Linked DNA regions of Yarrowia lipolytica. The protein of the gene in region 2 purifies or fractionates together with the protein of the main gene of each other region. This does not show direct contact. Links are inferred from orthologs where the notes say so. Each region holds a gene or a part of one and is shown on either strand. Other genes may lie near its edges.

Region 1 (5,109 bases), on a different chromosome or scaffold from region 2:
GGGGCTACGTTCCTCCATCCATCAAAACCACCGATATAGACGACTACAACCGGCTGTTCAAGAGCTTTGAGATCCGAGATGAGCGCGTGTACCACGTGGAGCAGGAGCTCAAGAAGCTCATTGACTCTTTTAACAAGATCAGAGAAGACCTGCTTCCTCTGTTCAAGTTTGTCAAGGAAAGCAAACCGCTGCCCACTCCTGATGGAACCAACCCCATCCATGCCCATTACTTACATTCGCCAGGAACCCCCAATGACGCTGCTGCTCCAAATACAGCCGCCAAAGAGCCAGGTTCCGGGGCCAACAACCCGGGCCCTTCTATAGCCCGGAAGCTGAGCAAGTTGAACAACAAGAGTGCCCAGAAGTCGCCCACAACTCTGGAACCCGAGTCTGCAGCAACAGCGAGCTCCTCCGGAACTTCTGGACCCTCGGAACAGAAACGGCCGAATCTCTATCTCGGCTCAGTCAAGTCGTTATTGTCTCCCTCAGACTCCTCGGTGGCTGCCACTCCCGTAGTTACGCCGGGGGGCTCTACCACCCTACACTTCTCCCATCCCTACCAGAGCGGGTCTGCCGCATCGTCACAAGTCAACTTCTCCAACACATCCTTGGTTTCGCCTGGGGCCCAGCCAAGCAGCACCAACGCACAACCCACCAGCACCAGCCAACCGGTTTCTAACAGCAGCCAGTCCACCAGCACTCTGGCGACAGAACCGTTCAAGTCGTTCCGAGTGACGCTAGACGACCCCTGCTACAAGGTGCTGCCGGCAGCTCTACGACGATACAAGATCAACGGCGACTGGAAGCAGTATGCGCTGCTGGTGTGCTATGGAGACCAGGAACGGCTTCTGGGGCTTGAGGAAAAACCGCTCATCATTTTCAAAGAGCTGCAAGACGCCGGAAAACAGCCCGTCTTCATGCTACGCCATATCGAGGGCATGAAACAGACAGGCGTCGTCGTAGGTACCCCTGGAGGTGTGCTATAGGAATATATTGCATGATACTGTACGTGCGAGCTGGACGTGTACAAGAGATGTCTCTGAACTCGGCAATGTTCTAAAGTGTTGCAGCTGTATCCATATACAGTACCCATATTGGCTGTGTACAGCATGCCATGGCTTGCTATCATGAGGTAGAGAGCCATTGGTATCATAATACGAGTATTGCTTGTAATTGTATTTCCAATCATCTCCTCAACCGGTAGTTGATGTAATGAGACCACAAACGACTAGACCTTTCTATGAGCCTACAAAATTGCTTCAGACGACTCTATCCACGACTACGATATAAGTGTAAGCGTAGCAATAACCGTCTGTATAGAAGAGTCAAGTACGAGTACATGTACTTGGACTTACTTAGACGTCCACAGTCTTCAGCTACAACGCGCGTGCGTAAATACACACTTTGTAAGACACGAACGCGCTGAACGTGTTCATCTCTCATCTTCTGCTCGTGAGGAGCATTTAGGCACCCATTAGAGGAAAGAACCTATCGACAACGATACTTCCACTCGTACTAATGTTGATATCTAATATAATATTATGCTATAAATAATGCAGGGTACTCGTTTGAGCATTGTCTCGTCTTATCTTTGTATCCGTCTCCTCTGAACGATCATCCTTCTTAAACCATGAAGGACTCGCCACATCCACACTCTCCCTTGGAGTTGGGGTTTCGGAAAATGAACCGCGAAGACAGCTTGTCGTCGAGCCAGTCCATCTCGGATCCGATAATGCTAAACAGGGCCTTGGAGTCGATGAGCACTCGCACGCCGTCCTGGACAACCTCCTCGTCAAACTTGGCGGGCTTGTCCACGTAGTCAATGTGGTAGGTGAGTCCGGAACATCCTCGGTTTCTTACGCCAATTCGAATGAGCTTTGGCTCGGGCTGGTCAAGGAGGTCCTTGAGGTGCTTGACAGCTGTGGGCGAAAGAGTGATGACGGCCTTTCGGGGTCGCAACTTTCGGGTTCGCTTGGGAGCGGGGGCGGGAGCAGCAGCCTTTTCAGCGGGGGCAGCAGCCTTAGTAGGAGCAGCGGCCGGTGCGCTGGTCTTGGCGGCAGGTCGGAATGCAAAAGGAGTGGTGGCAGGTCGCGACGACTTGTCCTGTGTGTTGGGGAATTTGAATGCAAAGGGTTTGGGGGTCTCGATCTTGGACGACTTGGAAGCGGCGTCGAAACGGGGCAGCTGGTGACGGGCCCATGTGAATCCCTGGGGCTGAGACGAAGACGACTTGTTCTCGGCCTGGTTGTCGCTCTTGGACGAATGGTACGCATTCGGGTTGTTGAGCATGAACGGGGTCATGGAAGGAGTCGACCGCTCCGCCGTCTGTAGGAATCGCTTTCCAACCGTCAATTTGTTTCGTAGTGACATTGTCATATGTTGTGTGTGTAGTGTTGTTGTGTTGGCTTAGTAGCGTTGGAGGGAACCTTTGCTCTTATAAATCAAAATGTGTGGAGGTTAAATAACTTCGGGTCCGCCCCGGGGCTGCTGTTGGGACACCAAGCTTACATATGTTCGAGCTGTGATTGGCTGGGTTTAGAGTTCAGAAAGAGAGGCAATAAGGTTCCCCATAACTGGTGACGTAATGAGATGGTCATAAACCACGGAAACGTGTGCAACTGGTTTAATTGTGCGGAATTTGCAGATGGAAAAAACGTCCATATATTACTAGGCAGCTCAAAACAGCCCTAATCTGGTTTTCTGCCCCCAAAATCCCCCCCTTTACGCACCCGAAGCTTCCCACCGACAGCCAATCAGGCAACCGTTATATTTCCAAAATAAGGTTTCGGAAATGACTCTGCACTCTCGTTAACAGGCAGTTTATCTTGTGACCGCAAGGGTCTCCGGAGTGAGCCATATGGACGATATTATCGGGTGTTTGTGGTTGCAGCACCGACCTGAGTCTTTGGTCAGGGCAAATTTCCGGGTTTCCGCGGTCCAAAACTCTTGTCGGCGCCGATAAATCTGGTGGGACTTGCTCTCACATTGCCCCTGATGCATCACATGATCTCCGCCAGTAACCATCGGTGCAAACATTGTGCGGCTTAAAAGAGTCGAGGAAGACTAACCGGCAAGGTCGGGCGACTGGCAAAACCAGCTTGAGAGTGTGTATCTGCGTCGATATTGGCGCTGGAATGCCATGGAAGGCTGTGGAAACTTGATTAGTAATATGCTGACCGGGTTTTTATTACACGGACGCCCATTGGCTGAGCAAATGTTGGGGTAAGCACAAGGTACCATTGTGCGTAATCTGGCGTTAGGGTTCTGAATCCAGGGCATCAACATGGATCAAAATGTACATGATCAAAACCACTAGCAGGTAGCAGGAGTATCGTACAAGTCCGAATACGGATAGAAAAATGATACTGGAGGAGAAAAGGTTGCCTTATCCGAGTCTGCTGATTAACATCTCGCCATCGATTCGCCAAGAGTCATCCTACCCTGTGTTGGTATTATCATCGTATGTACATACATACACACATAGTTGCCATGTCTGATCTCCAGGGCAAAGTCTGAGAATCAGCAGATATGAAAAAGAAACCATGAACATCAACTTTATCTGAGCCGCACAATCGACCGGCTTTAGAAAGACCACTTCTGGAATGGAATCGGATCCTGTTGGCGTTGGGCGGGGGTGCGGAGTAGGATTCCTAATTGTAGAGCGTGGTTTGTGAATCGTTATCTTTGGTAGATCTATAAGATGAAGTGATAGATCTGATGAAGAGAATGATCTATAAGGTGTCCTGAGTGATAGATCTATAATATGCCTTGAGTGATTAGCTTGTTGCTTTAACTGCTACAGTTGTTACATGTGCCAGTACGAGTACAAGCTGTTTCCAGGGCAGTATATCGTATCAGCCTCGGTACCACGTCGGTCACTTACCAGATTGACCGTTTTTGCGAGTGCTCCTACTTGCATTGTATGTACTGTCTAGAAAAGTAGCAGCAATAGAAGCACATCTCAAGACATGTTACCAGCGTCCATAACTAAGAGGACATGTTGAGCCCTTCATCTCAGCTCTCAATATATAATACCCGATCTTGGAGTTGGCGGACTTCCGGAATAGTTATTGCTTTTTCCTCCGAAAGGCTCCCTTTGGTGTCCCATACTTCACCGTGGTTTTGGCAGTAGCTTCCGACAGGGACCCGTTCTTTGTCGGGAAAGAATCTGTAATTAACGCTTGAACGTGCCCATCATCGCTATCACACTTCTAGAACAGCCAGAATAAAAGCTCGACGCCCATCAATTCAAGTCGTGCACGGTACTGCTTCCTTCTTATAGTCCTCATCCCATCACAGTTACATGCCGTATGTACTTGTATCTCTCTTCAGCCTCAGTGCACTCCAGGAAGACCAGAAACTGTTCTAAAGCTCTAGTACAGCACTCAGTGGGGCCCTTTAGTGGTCTCTGGTGTCCAGCACCTATACCGGCATGCCATTGTTCATACAGTCAACCTCAACGCTCGTAAATCATTATGCATTCAGAATAATTACAGTGACATGTCTACTCCAGAGGAGCAGTCTCCTTGAGCAACCACTCCTTGACCTCGCCCTCAACCAGAGGTCCAACCTCGTTCCGCACAACCTGGTGGTAGTGGTTGACCCACTTCTTCTCCGAGTCCTCCAGCATAGAAACGTCAATCAGCTTGTGGCACAGAGGCACCCGGGTGATGGTCTCAAAGCCCAGATACTTCTTACCTCCAAAGTTTTCCTGGGTCTTCTTTTCCTTGCAGATCAGAACAGACTCGATTCGAATACCGTACTCGCCGTCCTTGTAGTAACCAGGCTCGTTGGACACCACATTTCCAATCTCCATGGGGAAGTCTCTGTAGGCGGGTCGGAAGCCGATTCCGAAGGGGCCCTCGTGCACGTTGAGGAAGGCGCCAATACCGTGGCCTGTGCCGTGTCGGTAGTCCAGACCGTACTTCCACAGGAACTGACGGGCCAAAATGTCGAGAGCAAAACCGGTGGTGCCCTCGGGGAACACCGACTCGGCCAGAGCAATGTGGCCCTTGAGAACCAACGTGTTTGAGGTTCGCTCCTCGTCGCTGGGGCTGCCGAAGTGCCACGTTCGAGTGGTGTCTGTGGTTCCTTCAAGAAACTGGGAGC
Region 2 (5,266 bases):
TGCTGGAAATCACAGACAAACTGTGTGCGGCTTGGGGTCTGGATGTGCTGGAGTCGCTCTTTTCCGCAGGCACCCTCAACAACTACCAGCGACTCGCGACATACATGGGTCTGTACATGGCTTACTCGGCTGTGCATTCAGGGGTGCTGCTGTACCAGATTGTGACCCTCAACGTGGCCGTCAACTCGTACTCCAACGCGCTGCTGACCCTGCTGTTGTCCAACCAGTTCAACGAGGTCAAGTCGACCGTTTTTAAGCGGTTTGAACGCGAGTCTCTGTTCCAGCTCACCTGTGCAGATATCACCGAGCGGTTCCAGTTGTGGGTGCTACTGGTGTCCATCGGACTCCGGAACGTGGTCGAGGTCTCCAATACGGGTCTCGTTCCATCGTCGTGGTCGGGCTGGAATCGATGGCTAGGGGCTCTGCTGGGTCCTGCTCTAGTGGTGCTGGGCTCCGAAGTCGCTGTCGACTGGCTCAAGCACTCGTACATTGCGAAATTCAACAATTTCCGTCCCAGAGTGTACCGCAAGTTTCTGGACGTGCTCACTCAGGACTATCACGAGCATGCATTCAATGACCAGCTCATTACTCGACGAATGGGCCTTCCTACCACGGCTCTGGCGTGCGTCTTCATGCGCATGTGCTACCAGAGCTACCAGATTCTTTTCGAGTCTGGAGAGTCGCGTTTTGTCAAGGGAACGCCTACAGTCAGTCCCCAACTGAGAGAGACATTGGCACAGGTGGACACAAAGTTCGTCAACAACGTGTCCGTTTCTGAGATTGCCCAGGCCACAAGGACGTTTTTCAGCTCGTTGTACAACGGCACATCGCCTCTGGTGTCGTTTTCTTCCAACATTATCCCTGTGTGGGCGAAATTCGACATTTACTATGTGACGTATCTGCTGACGATGATTCTGGTGTTTGCGCTTGTGTTTGCCGTACTGGTCATCTTCAAGTTGTTTCTGGGCCTCACCTTGTTGAGGTACAGTCACAGCAAGAGAAGACGACAGAAGCGAACGTTTGACGAGATGGAAAAGAAGAGATCTGAGTCAATCAAGGACGATTATCTGCCTGGAAAGACGAGGGGGGGACAGGGCGTGATTGAGCTGACGGACGATATGCAGCAGGGTCTGTACAGCGACGGGGAGGAAAAGAAGGAGAAGCAGCACAAGAAGAAGGTGGTGGAGCTGCAGAATGTCAGCAGGTTTGATATGGTGAGCAAGAGGATTTGGTAGCCGAGTGCGGCGAGTGTTCCAATGAAGCGTAGCCTTGGCTACCCGGGGCACCATTCCTCCACTAGCTCGCATACCTCCCATATTTATTTATTTTATGAGCATTTTTAATGATTGGTCATGTGACCGCAGAGATGTATTGCTGTGTCATGCCTTCTCCAGCAGTTCTTGCAAGTCATACGTCTGAGCTGAAACAATCAGATCGCGGTGTTTTCGAGTTGTAGATGGTCTTCAGGGCTTCCCTGAAGAGAATTATCACCGACAGTTTGTCCATATCTCTGGTTGGATCACAAGATACTGTCACTCCAGTCACGACCAGCCAGTAGTACCAAGAGGTGTTTGATTGAACGCTAGACATTCGTCGGTACTGTACTCCAATCTCAAGCTTTTTGCCAGTCGACACTTCTCCTTCCCTCGACTTGCCCTCTCTACTGCCATCGTCAATGACAAACTACACGCCTCTCACCCATTAATCATTCAATCTATTATATACACTTATGGTCTATCTGCTGTGTGCGCATAGTTAACGAGGGACTCAGCAAAGTGACACCAATCGTCTCGCTTTCATTCGGTTAGGTGGCCGCAGTGATCCTCCAAAAGAAGTCAGCCGCTTCGCACCTACTTCTTAGAGGGAGGGAGGCACCTCCTCGCCCTTCTCCTCAGCCAGTCGCTTCTCGAGCTTCTCAAACTCCTCGAGAGAAACCTTCTCCTCGGGATCGAGGAACTGCTCGACACCAGTCACCTCCTCGACGTAGTGCATGAGCATGCTCTCGATACCGTTCTTGAGGGTGACGGCTGAAGAGTCACAAGATCGGCAGGCGCCCAGCAGCTTGAGGTGCACGACGCCGGTGTCCTCGTCAAAGCCTCGGAATGCAATGTCGCCACCATCTTCCTGGATGGCCGGTCGGATTCGGGTTTCGATGAGCTCCTTGATCATAGACACAACCTCGGAGTCGTCGTCACAGGGAGCCGTATCCTCGGCGGCGGTGGTGCCCTCCATGACAATGGGGGCGCCGGCAGTGATGTGTTCGGTGAGAATGGAGAAGACCTCGGGCTTGAGGGTGTTCCAGTGGGTGTCCTGGGCCTTTTCGACGGTGATGAAGTCGGATCCGAACATGACCGATCGGACGCCGTCTACACCAAACAGCTTCTTGGCCAGTGGGGACGAGTGGGCCTCTCGGCCGCTGGTAAACTCGACGGTGTGGCCCTCGGGGAGAATCTGGACCGAGGGCAGGAACTTGAGGGCGTCCTCGTTGGGGGTGGAGGCCGTCTGGATGAACATGGTTCTGTGGAGGCTGGGGAGCTTGCCGGCGGCGATCTGGGGCCGCAGAGCCGGCTGTGTGAATTGTCGCGTGAGAGCGAGTCGAACGGCGGGTCGCTGGGCCCGGTTCATGAGTCGCACGGCGTTTCGGAGCATTTTGTGTTGTGTGGTGGAGATGAAAAGTGGTGGTGGACTTGGTGTTATAAGTCTAGTGGTGATAATTTAAACTTTGCTCGTGCATGGGAGGTGAATTGGAGAAAAGAAGATAGAGTGCCTTGAAGTGGGTCAATATTAGAGCTATGAGGACTTTAAATATATATTGTTGATCACTAATACGAGATAAATCCATTGGTAGTTTCAGAATTCCGATAGACCCATTATTTACTCGACTACTTACTCCATCCTATCATCTTCCCCGGCTTGTATTACACAAGTTCAAACTCAAATTTGTAATCTTTGCCACTCGCCAAAAAGTTCGATAGCAATCCGATTTGAGCCGGAAAAGAAGGAATATATGCTGATTTTGGCGATGGAATCTGTTTCCAACCTTGAAAATCGCCTTTTCCCCCTCATAATCCCCCCAAATCTGCCCTTTTGCCAATTAACCTCATCCGGTTATGCACCGCAATCTCGCCCTGCACATCTACTCCCAACCAAAAAAAATATGCATTCTTACATAATCCCAAAGAGCCGCGCGGTGATTGGCTGCAGCGGCAAAGAGGACTCTCAATTCAAGGTGCTGGCGCTGGGTTCGCTTTCTCCCCGCAATCGTCGTTGCTACATGTGACCGCAATTGCTTGCTCCGAATCTAAACTCTGTTTGCTTAGTAAGCGTACTGCTGGGAGTTCACAGGACTGTGATGGCCGAGTCGGAGCCGAGATGTAAGACAGAGGCTCCAGGGCTTGGTCGAGAAAGCTGGTGGGAATTGGGTGGTTTATTTGGGCTTGAATTGGTCGGTTTAGTTGGTATTTCGACTTTCAGGTCACCATTTAAAGAATTGGTGCTGCTGAAGAGAGTGCCAACGATAGGTAAATAGCTAGACCAGAAAGGAGATGAGAGTCGAAACTGAACAAAAGGAGAGCTCGACCGCACATGGTGATAATACCGTCTAACGTGGGTCTAGACATGTTTTTGTGGGAGAAAAACAATGATGTTAATGAAGTACTCACTAGAGCCATTAACCTGAGGTGTGAGTTAGTTCAACTGAGCTGTACCGTTGTCAGTCTACTTGTATGTTTCTGAGTGCTGATGAAGAAGAGAAGAGAGACATTGGGGAAACAAGGCGGATATATAGAGTGGGAAATCTGTCTGTGTAACTCATGCAGACTTTCTGATTGGGCAAATCAAAACAACACGGGCTGGATTGAAAGTGATATTGTCATTAGTGTTTGGTGGACTGCAGGTGCGTGCATATGAAGGTCGTAGGAGTATTGGAACGGGCTGAAATTTTGAATGTAGAGGTAGATGTGACGTATGTGAAATAGATTTCAATTTCAGTTCGTCATAGGGTTCAATTTCTCTTTTCGACTCGATAAAAAACTGTATATTCGACAAGTTATGTGACATTTCCAGCCCCGCTCGTATTTCGGATATATGTCAGATAAGATGTTATCTGTTGTCTACATTTAGGTAACTCAACGGAAGTGTGAATTGACAAACACATCTCTGCTCAGGCTAGATTATTCAGATTCGAAATTTGAAAGAAGAAACGGAATCAGCATGTGCACATTACCATACAAAAGTGTCGTTATTTTTGCAATATCGTGCCTCAACATGAAGTGGTGAAATCAAGCGTATGTATATACAGCCTTACTCGTGTTCAGAGCGAGGCATGTTCCACGTCCAATCTGATCTTAAGCATCAATGTATATATAATATATAGGACTATATCTTTTAATATATATATATATATATATATAGTTTTTTTGGAAACACTACTATAAAGGTATGTTTAATGTTGGCTCAGGTGAATTGCCTGATTGAGAAGCGAATGGACCAGCTTCTGGTCTCAATGAGAGCTATTATAGACGCCAAGTTGAATTCAATCTCTAATTTGCCCGTCTTGTGTCTGAGAACAACGACGTTGGAAATGGACGATGACATTGTATCTAAGAGAAAATCCCTGTCCCTCACCAAGAACAAGAAAAGCGTCAATGATGCAGATACGGAATTGATACTTGTGATTAAGAAATGGTGATAGCTCTCTTTAGTTTCAGGTATCCAGACTGCAACCATTGACTCTAGCGTCAATGCAGACTGTGGACCTCTTCCCGACGTACTTGGTTGGTACAGTAGTCGCTGATGAAATCCGTATAAGGAGCTCATTACCGACCCAGCAGATAACACAGCCGAGAACCAATCAAACCCGAAAGTTGACCAGAGATTCCCCAACCCATTTCTACACTTTCAATCCAGCTTTCTTGATATGACAAAAACTGCGCATCCCGAGTAGCATTGTCAGCCGCATCCGCAACAACAGTTACAGACATAAACGAAAGTTCACGTGATTGATCCCTTCATTTCCCGTGACTCGTTCGATGACTCTTTCGCGGCTAAGACAAGTTTCACGCTAAGGCTCTACTTGTACAGTAATTATGCTGCCTATTTGTACAGCATGTACTGTCGTAAATGTGCACCACATGTCGTCGGGAAAGTGTCCAGTTTGGTGGGCAGAAATAGTTTACGTTAGCACAATACAAGTAGCGCTTGAATCGACACATTCAACACTTGCAAACCCCAGCCATTATCATGTTCACGTGCCCTCGTTGTAGGG
Region 3 (6,841 bases), on a different chromosome or scaffold from region 2:
CCCGTGTCCCCGCACGTGATAAATGACGCGTGGAACCTGTACCAATACGTAATTACAGCATTGAATGTGCGTGCTGATGCAAAACTGGGAACTGTGAAGGCAGCCGATCTCATCAACACGTCGAGTGTGGGGAGTCAAAGGACTGGTTTTATTGTTGTGGTCGGTTTGTGGGGTTTTTTGCTGTCCACAGGTCATACGACATACAATTACGTACAGTTGAGATGGATATCCAACATTGCAGAATCCATGTACGGCAGTGATGAATAGAGTTTCGGACAGGACATATAATTAAATCCTGTGACGATCCACAATGGCTCGGGGAGAGTTGAGCCCATGACGTAATGGGACAGTTACCCAAATCACTCGTAAAATTACTTGGGATTTATGTATGAAAGGCTGCATTCTTCTGTACAATACTGTACCCAAGGAGAGGAGGAGAGGTGGACATGCTGTAAGACAATACCAGATGTGCGATTAATTTTAGGAATGCAGGTGACCAGTGCCGTAACCAAATCAGAGCGTTTTTCGTCTTTAGCGAATACTCCAACTTATTGGTACACGTAACAAAGTATCTCACGACTTGGGGGTCCGTTTGTACGTTCCTGGAAGCATGCATCTCAATCTGTGCTCTCATATTGTTGTGTCATCTGACTGCACAAAATGATTTCGTTGAGCTCTGGTCCAGGTCACGGACCAACAATGGCAATTCAATGAGTGCCAAAGTTGAAAACCATCCATTGGTGTCAATCGAAATCACAATTTTCGAATGCACTTGCAGATCAGCATTCTGTGATGTTGGTTTGTGAATACCAATTGAATGACAGGACAACATGAGGAGGTTGACAGGTCTACCAGGCTGATTAACAAAGGCGTACAGTTACGAGTCTCGGGGACCCCGGATTGGAAAGAGAATATAGCGCATATTAGTAGTGCGGGGTCTCCATTCCATAACTAATTATCGTCCCACAGTTTTCTTTGTTTCGGTATCTCCTTTTGGTGTTCAGGCTGGCGCGTGTTTCTGCCTTTATAAACAGGAGCAAACAGCAATAATAATATCTTTCCGGCGTGAACGCGTGTACAATTCCCCCCCACAGGAGTCTTAAATACGACTTTTTATACACAAAGACCGCTCTCTGTTGTGTATCGTACTCGTATACCCCCGACTGCCACACAACCTGGCCTGCTTCGAGGCATCATCACACAGGCACACATGACTATACGACAAGAGCCTCAGCGAGCGTGCGGCAGCCTCGAAAGAAGTATGTTTCGAAATCAACAGCTGTTGTTTAACTGTCGACATTAGCTCCCGTCCTTCTGCACAACAGTTGCGACACTTCACGATTGCCCCTTGACTTGACCCCTTTCCCTTCCTGGAATTGCCACATTGAGGCACACATGGGTTTTCAAAGCAAATGAGACCCGAAGAATGTTTGGAGCGGAGGGGGGGCCTCAAAAGATAATATTGATTGGTCTTATACGGGGTACAGTGGAATATTATTTGCACTGTGCGTTGGGCTTTTATTCATCTCGGAACTCATTTTCGACTTTAATTCATTTTTACAGTTTTGGGGGGTTGTTATTTTTGAAGGTGCAGCCTCTCTTGCTCTAAGGAGACTACTGGCTTTACTTGTTGGCAGCCTTCTGGGCTCCAATGAAGTTGATGGCAGAACCAGCCTTGAAGAAATCAACCTGGTCGGCAGACATGGTGTGTCGGGCTCGGAAGTCGTAGGTAGAGCCGTCAGACTTGGTAGCTCGCATCTGGACAAAGCCACCGTTGTCACCACCCTTCTCAAGCATGTCCAGGAGGTCCAGGGTCTCCAGAGTGTCGCAGGCCTGGATCTTGTCGTAGTCGGCCTCGTTCTCAAAGGTCAGAGGAAGCATACCCTGCTTCTTGAGGTTGGTCTCGTGAATTCGAGCGAAAGACTTGACTAGGATGGCCTGTCCACCGAGGAATCGGGGAGACAGAGCAGCATGCTCTCGGGCGGAACCCTCTCCGTAGTTGTGCTCAGCAACAACAATCCAGGGCTTGCCCTGCTCCTTCCACTTGATCATGAGGTCGGGGATAGACTGCTCGGAGCCGTCAGCGGCATCAATAGTGTGGTTGACCTTCTGGGTCTCCTTGTTAAGAGCACCAATCAGGGTGTTGTAGGAAATGTTCTCAAGATGGCCCTTGTACTTGAGCCAGGCACCAGCGGCCGAAATGTGGTCGGTGGTGCACTTGCCCTCAACCTTCATGAGTACCGAGAGCTTGAGCTCCTGGTTGTTAAAGGGCTCAAAAGGCTCAAGGAGCTGCAGTCGCTCGGAATCGGGGGAGACAGTCACGTTCACCTCGGGATGGGGCTGGGGGGCAGCCTCGGGGTAGAACTCGGGTCGGCCCTTGGCAAACTCCTCGGGCAGCTCGGTACCCTTAGGGGGCTGGAACTTGAATTCCTTGCCGTCCTTGGTGGTGATGGAGTCGGTCATGGGGTTGAAGTGAGCGTCTCCAGAGTAGATCATAGCGGTGACAATCTCGGGAGAGGTCAGGAAGTTCATGGTTTCGGGGTTACCATCGTTTCGGGCTCGGAAGTTTCGGTTGAAAGAGGTGAAGATGGAGTTGAACTCGCCGGGCTTGGTCTCGTCAGTTCGATCCCACTGACCGATACAGGGTCCACAGGCGTTGGCCAGAACCACCGCACCAGCAGACTCGAACACGTCTGTCAGACCGTCCTTCTTGATGGTGGCTCGAATCTGCTCGGATCCGGGGGTGATGAAGAAGGGAATCTTGGCCTCGAGACCGTTGTCTCGGGCCTGCTCAACCAGAGAGGCGACTCGGGTCATGTCCTCGTAGGAGGAGTTGGTGCATGATCCAATGAGACCGGCAGACACGGTATCGGGCCACTTCTCAGAGGTGACCTTGGTGGAGTACTTGGAGAGGGGGGTGGCCAGATCGGGAGTGAAGGGACCGTTGATACAGGGCTCGAGCTCGGACAGGTTGACCTCTACAACCTCGTCATACTGAGCACCCTCGTCAGCAGCCAAGAAGCCTCGGTCTCGAGCAGCTGCTGCTGCTGCGGCAATGGGAGCTCGTCCGGTGGCCTCCAAGTATCGTCGCATGGACTCCGTAAAGGGGAACGTAGAGGTGGTAGCACCGACCTCGGCACCCATGTTGCAAATTGTGGCCATACCGGTGCAGGACAGGGAGTCAACACCCTCGCCGTGGTACTCGATGATGTTTCCGGTTCCTCCTCGCACAGTCAGCTTGCCAGCCAGATGGGTAATAACATCCTTGGGAGAAGCCCAGCCGGACAGCTTTCCAGTCAGCTTGACTCCGAGAATCTTGGGGGCCTTCAGTTCCCAGGGAGTTCCGGTCAAAGCGTCGACAGCGTCGGCTCCTCCAACACCGATGGCAATGGCACCGAGACCACCAGCGTTGGGAGTGTGAGAGTCGGTTCCGAGCATCATGAGACCGGGAACAGAGAAGTTCTCCAGCACAATCTGGTGGATGATACCGGATCCGGGGCCCCAGAACTGGATGCCGTACTTCTCGGCACATTGCTGCAGGAAGTCGAACACCTCCTGGTTGGTAGCGATAGATCGGGTCAGATCATCATCGGCACCGTCTCGGCCAACAATCAGATGGTCACAGTGAATGGACGCAGGCACGGCGGTGGAAGGAAGACCACAGGTCATAAACTGCAGCAGAGCCATCTGAGCAGAGGCATCCTGCATGGCCACTCGGTCGGGGTTGAGCTTGAGGTAAGTGTCACCTCGAGTGATGCTGGGAGTCTCCTCAGGGTTGTGAAGATGTGAATACAGAATTTTTTCAGCCAAGGTCAAATCATTTCGGTTGATAATCTTCTTGACCTGATCAAGACGGTTGATGAGCTCCGCGTAGGGAGGGGTTCGGGTCTTGAAGTCAGCGGGCACGCTGAGGCCGGAGGCGTTGGCAGTGGTGGCAAGACCACGAGCCTTGATGGCCGAGAATCGTGCCTGGCAAAATCGAGCACTTCTCAGCATTTTTTCGGTTGTGTGGGGAAAATCTTTTAGTTGGTTTGTGTCAAAAAGGGTGAAACTTCGTGATCTGAAATATCACGGTGACTCATACTGATAAGGTTCGTGCACAACTGCACATTATCCAGCCAATCAAGAACACGCAAATGTAAGCCAGCCGGGCGTATGGACGGATGATAAAAGCGGAGACACCGTCCGTGTGCTTTGTTCATTGGGTAGAGTGGTGTTTGACCCTTCCATACCCCATATTACGCGCCTTCACGTGACTCTGACCCATGTGAATAGACCAACCCATTCATGCAACTTTATTCGGTTGGTACACACAGCGTCCACAATACCTGTAATCGTTGTAGATATCAAGTGCATGTGGATAACATGTTTTTAGTCGTCGTCATGTTAGCAACTAGTAGTTTTTGTTTTGTGTCTCTATCACGTCGCTTTGGACACATGTTCTGGGGTCCGCTGAAAAAGACTTCTCCGTGGAGCTGCCGATATCGCTGGGTGCATAGTTCCTGGGGTAGAAATGAAATGACGTAATCTTAACTTGGGAGGCACGCGTCTGGTCGATGGTGTATATATAACATCACGTACGAGTAGGCGACCTATATATATTGACCTGGAAGTTGCATCTTTGTCGTGTCATCTTGCGGAAGAAAACATGTGCACGATATTGTTGTCTGTGTGGTGACTATTATAACATCATGTTTGGGTGTGTATAGGGCAACGAAGAAAGACCGAGTGATCTGGGGTTAAATTGGCACTGTCTAGAGCAAAAAAACCACTGTATGCCTCGGGGACAGACAAATAGGTCCACACCATACCCTCTCCTCCCCCAAATATGTTGCACTAGCGGTTTATATTTTTTTACCTATTATTTCCGATTTTTTCCAATATTCTGCGGTTATTCAAACAAATGTGCATCAATTTACTGTTTTTGGGTTGCACATATCAAGAGCTACAGTATGCACTTGTAGCCGCCACCTACTCACACAGTATGTACTGTACTTGCTACATGCACAGCAACACAAAACTTCACGTGACTACACACGGTAAAGGTTGTTAACCCTTGCTCAATGTGATATATACCCCCAATCTGGCAGAAATGGTCTCCTTGTAATGGAATACCTTCGTAGCCCTTCCCGGTACAGTACACTCAGACTTTTCGAGTAGTTTCCTCCATAGGTTGCACGGGACCAACTTGCATTTTGGGGCAGGTTGGCGCCGGACCAAAAATCGTGGCCCCAAAAGGTATGCAAAAGTCTCGGGAGCTACCAAAGCGACTGAAAGCACCAAGCAACCTCCGTTCAAACGAGGCAAAGATGTCCCCTGTAAAACGCACCATCTCTTCACCTCCATATCGACGTTCGATTTCGGGTGTACCATCATCTTGCATATCCAAAAGCTTAATGTATCTCGGACCAGCATTACACTTAACTTGCCACCATTGAGGAAGTCTTAACCAAAAGCTGCCACAACGACTAGAAATGGTATCTGAAGAAGAAAAAACCGAACGAATCGCGCAATTCGTGGGAATCACACAGTCCTCGCCCGAAGATGCACAGGATTGCTTGCTCCACACCGACTGGGACGTGGCTCAGGCTGTCGATCTGTTCTTGTCGGCTAACGACGACCCCGAGGAGAACGAGGAGGATGCTGAAAACGACGATGCCGAGGACATTGACGTCGAGGAGGACTCGGACGCATACGCCAACCCCTCGGGTCTGGCCCCCAGTGGAATTGCCGCCGGAATCCAGGGCTTCCTCAGTGGCCTAGCTGGCAGAGATGATCCTGCTGCTGCTGCCTCTGAGCCACAGGGAATCCTCAGCAACCCCCAGCCCTCTGGATACAGACTCGGAGACGGTACCGGGTCGTCAACTCCTGTCAGCGGAGCCAGCAGTAGCACCACTCCTGCTCCTTCTGCCCCTGCCCCTGCTCCTGCTCCTAGAAGGGGCGTGGCGGGTGTCAGAACTCTGGGAGATCTGTCGCGAGACAATGCGCCTCCCAAGCGACAGGACCTATTCACTGGAGGAGAAAAGTCGGCTCTGGCTGTCCAGAACCCCAACAGACCTGGCCAGCAGGGCAACCAGGGAGGCAACCCTCTGGTTAATGATATCATTCGACGAGCTGAGGCCAACCCAGCAAGACCTCGAGGTGAGAACGACGATGAGTCAGAGGATGAGGAACAGGTGGGAAGCTTCCACGGAACAGGGTTCACTCTGGGCTCCGACGAGGTCCAAAGCCGACCCGTGGAGTCTGCTCTCCCCACCTCTCTCCCCAAGGTCTCTCGATCAATCACCTTCTGGCAGAACGGTTTCACAGTCGAGGATGGTCCTCTGTACAGATACGACGACCCCCGAAACCAGCGGTACCTCGAGACCCTCAACCAAGGACGAGCTCCTCTGGCTCTCCTGGATGTCCAACATAACCAGGCCGTTGATATTAACGTGACGGACCGAAGTGAAGAGGCATACGTGGAGAAGAAGCCTGTCTACGGAGGTTCTGGTAATCGTCTCGGATCTCCTGTTCCTGGGGAGCCTACCCCCTCCTCCTCCGCCACTCCGCCACCCTCCGCCCCTACTCCTGCTGCTACCTCATCTGGTCCTTCAAACTCCTCATCTGGAGCAGGAGGAAGCAGAATTCAGATTCGACTTGGCGACGGAACTCGTCTTACTCCCTCCTTCTCCCCCGATCTCACTGTCCAGTCCCTCTACGATTTTGTTGATGAACACAACCCCTCTGGTCGAGAATACGTTCTCCAGACCACATTCCCCAATAAGGAACTTAGAGACAAGAGCTTGACTCTGAAGGATGCTAAGGTTATTGGTGCTGCTATTGTTCAGCGATACGAGTA

What was found. Proteins that work in one complex are often made in the same cells at the same time.
Region 1: the proteins of YALI1_B00242g (region 2) and YALI1_E22961g purify together in Saccharomyces cerevisiae (affinity purification with mass spectrometry; 3 studies listed by BioGRID, with this or other methods). This does not show direct contact. The link is inferred for Yarrowia lipolytica from reciprocal best matches to the Saccharomyces cerevisiae genes NFU1 and ISA1.
Region 3: the proteins of YALI1_B00242g (region 2) and YALI1_E17935g purify together in Saccharomyces cerevisiae (affinity purification with mass spectrometry; 3 studies listed by BioGRID, with this or other methods). This does not show direct contact. The link is inferred for Yarrowia lipolytica from reciprocal best matches to the Saccharomyces cerevisiae genes NFU1 and ACO2.

Annotation. Positions count from the first base shown.
Region 1 is NC_090774.1:2,293,426-2,298,534, reverse strand, and holds YALI1_E22961g (uncharacterized protein), read right to left. Parts: upstream 2,377-5,109; coding exon 1,624-2,376; downstream 1-1,623. Other genes in the region: YALI1_E22988g (uncharacterized protein), read left to right, coding at 1-986; YALI1_E22921g (uncharacterized protein), read right to left, coding at 4,505-5,109. UniProt on the Saccharomyces cerevisiae protein: Involved in the assembly of mitochondrial and cytoplasmic iron-sulfur proteins. Probably involved in the binding of an intermediate of Fe/S cluster assembly.
Region 2 is NC_090771.1:21,605-26,870, reverse strand, and holds YALI1_B00242g (uncharacterized protein), read right to left. Parts: upstream 2,650-5,266; coding exon 1,858-2,649; downstream 1-1,857. Other genes in the region: YALI1_B00273g (uncharacterized protein), read left to right, coding at 1-1,235. UniProt on the Saccharomyces cerevisiae protein: Involved in iron homeostasis within the mitochondrion where it is involved in the assembly of iron-sulfur proteins.
Region 3 is NC_090774.1:1,790,655-1,797,495, reverse strand, and holds YALI1_E17935g (uncharacterized protein), read right to left. Parts: upstream 3,997-6,841; coding exon 1,624-3,996; downstream 1-1,623. Other genes in the region: YALI1_E17973g (uncharacterized protein), read right to left, coding at 1-195; YALI1_E17920g (uncharacterized protein), read left to right, coding at 5,475-6,841. UniProt on the Saccharomyces cerevisiae protein: Catalyzes the reversible dehydration of (R)-homocitrate to cis-homoaconitate, a step in the alpha-aminoadipate pathway for lysine biosynthesis.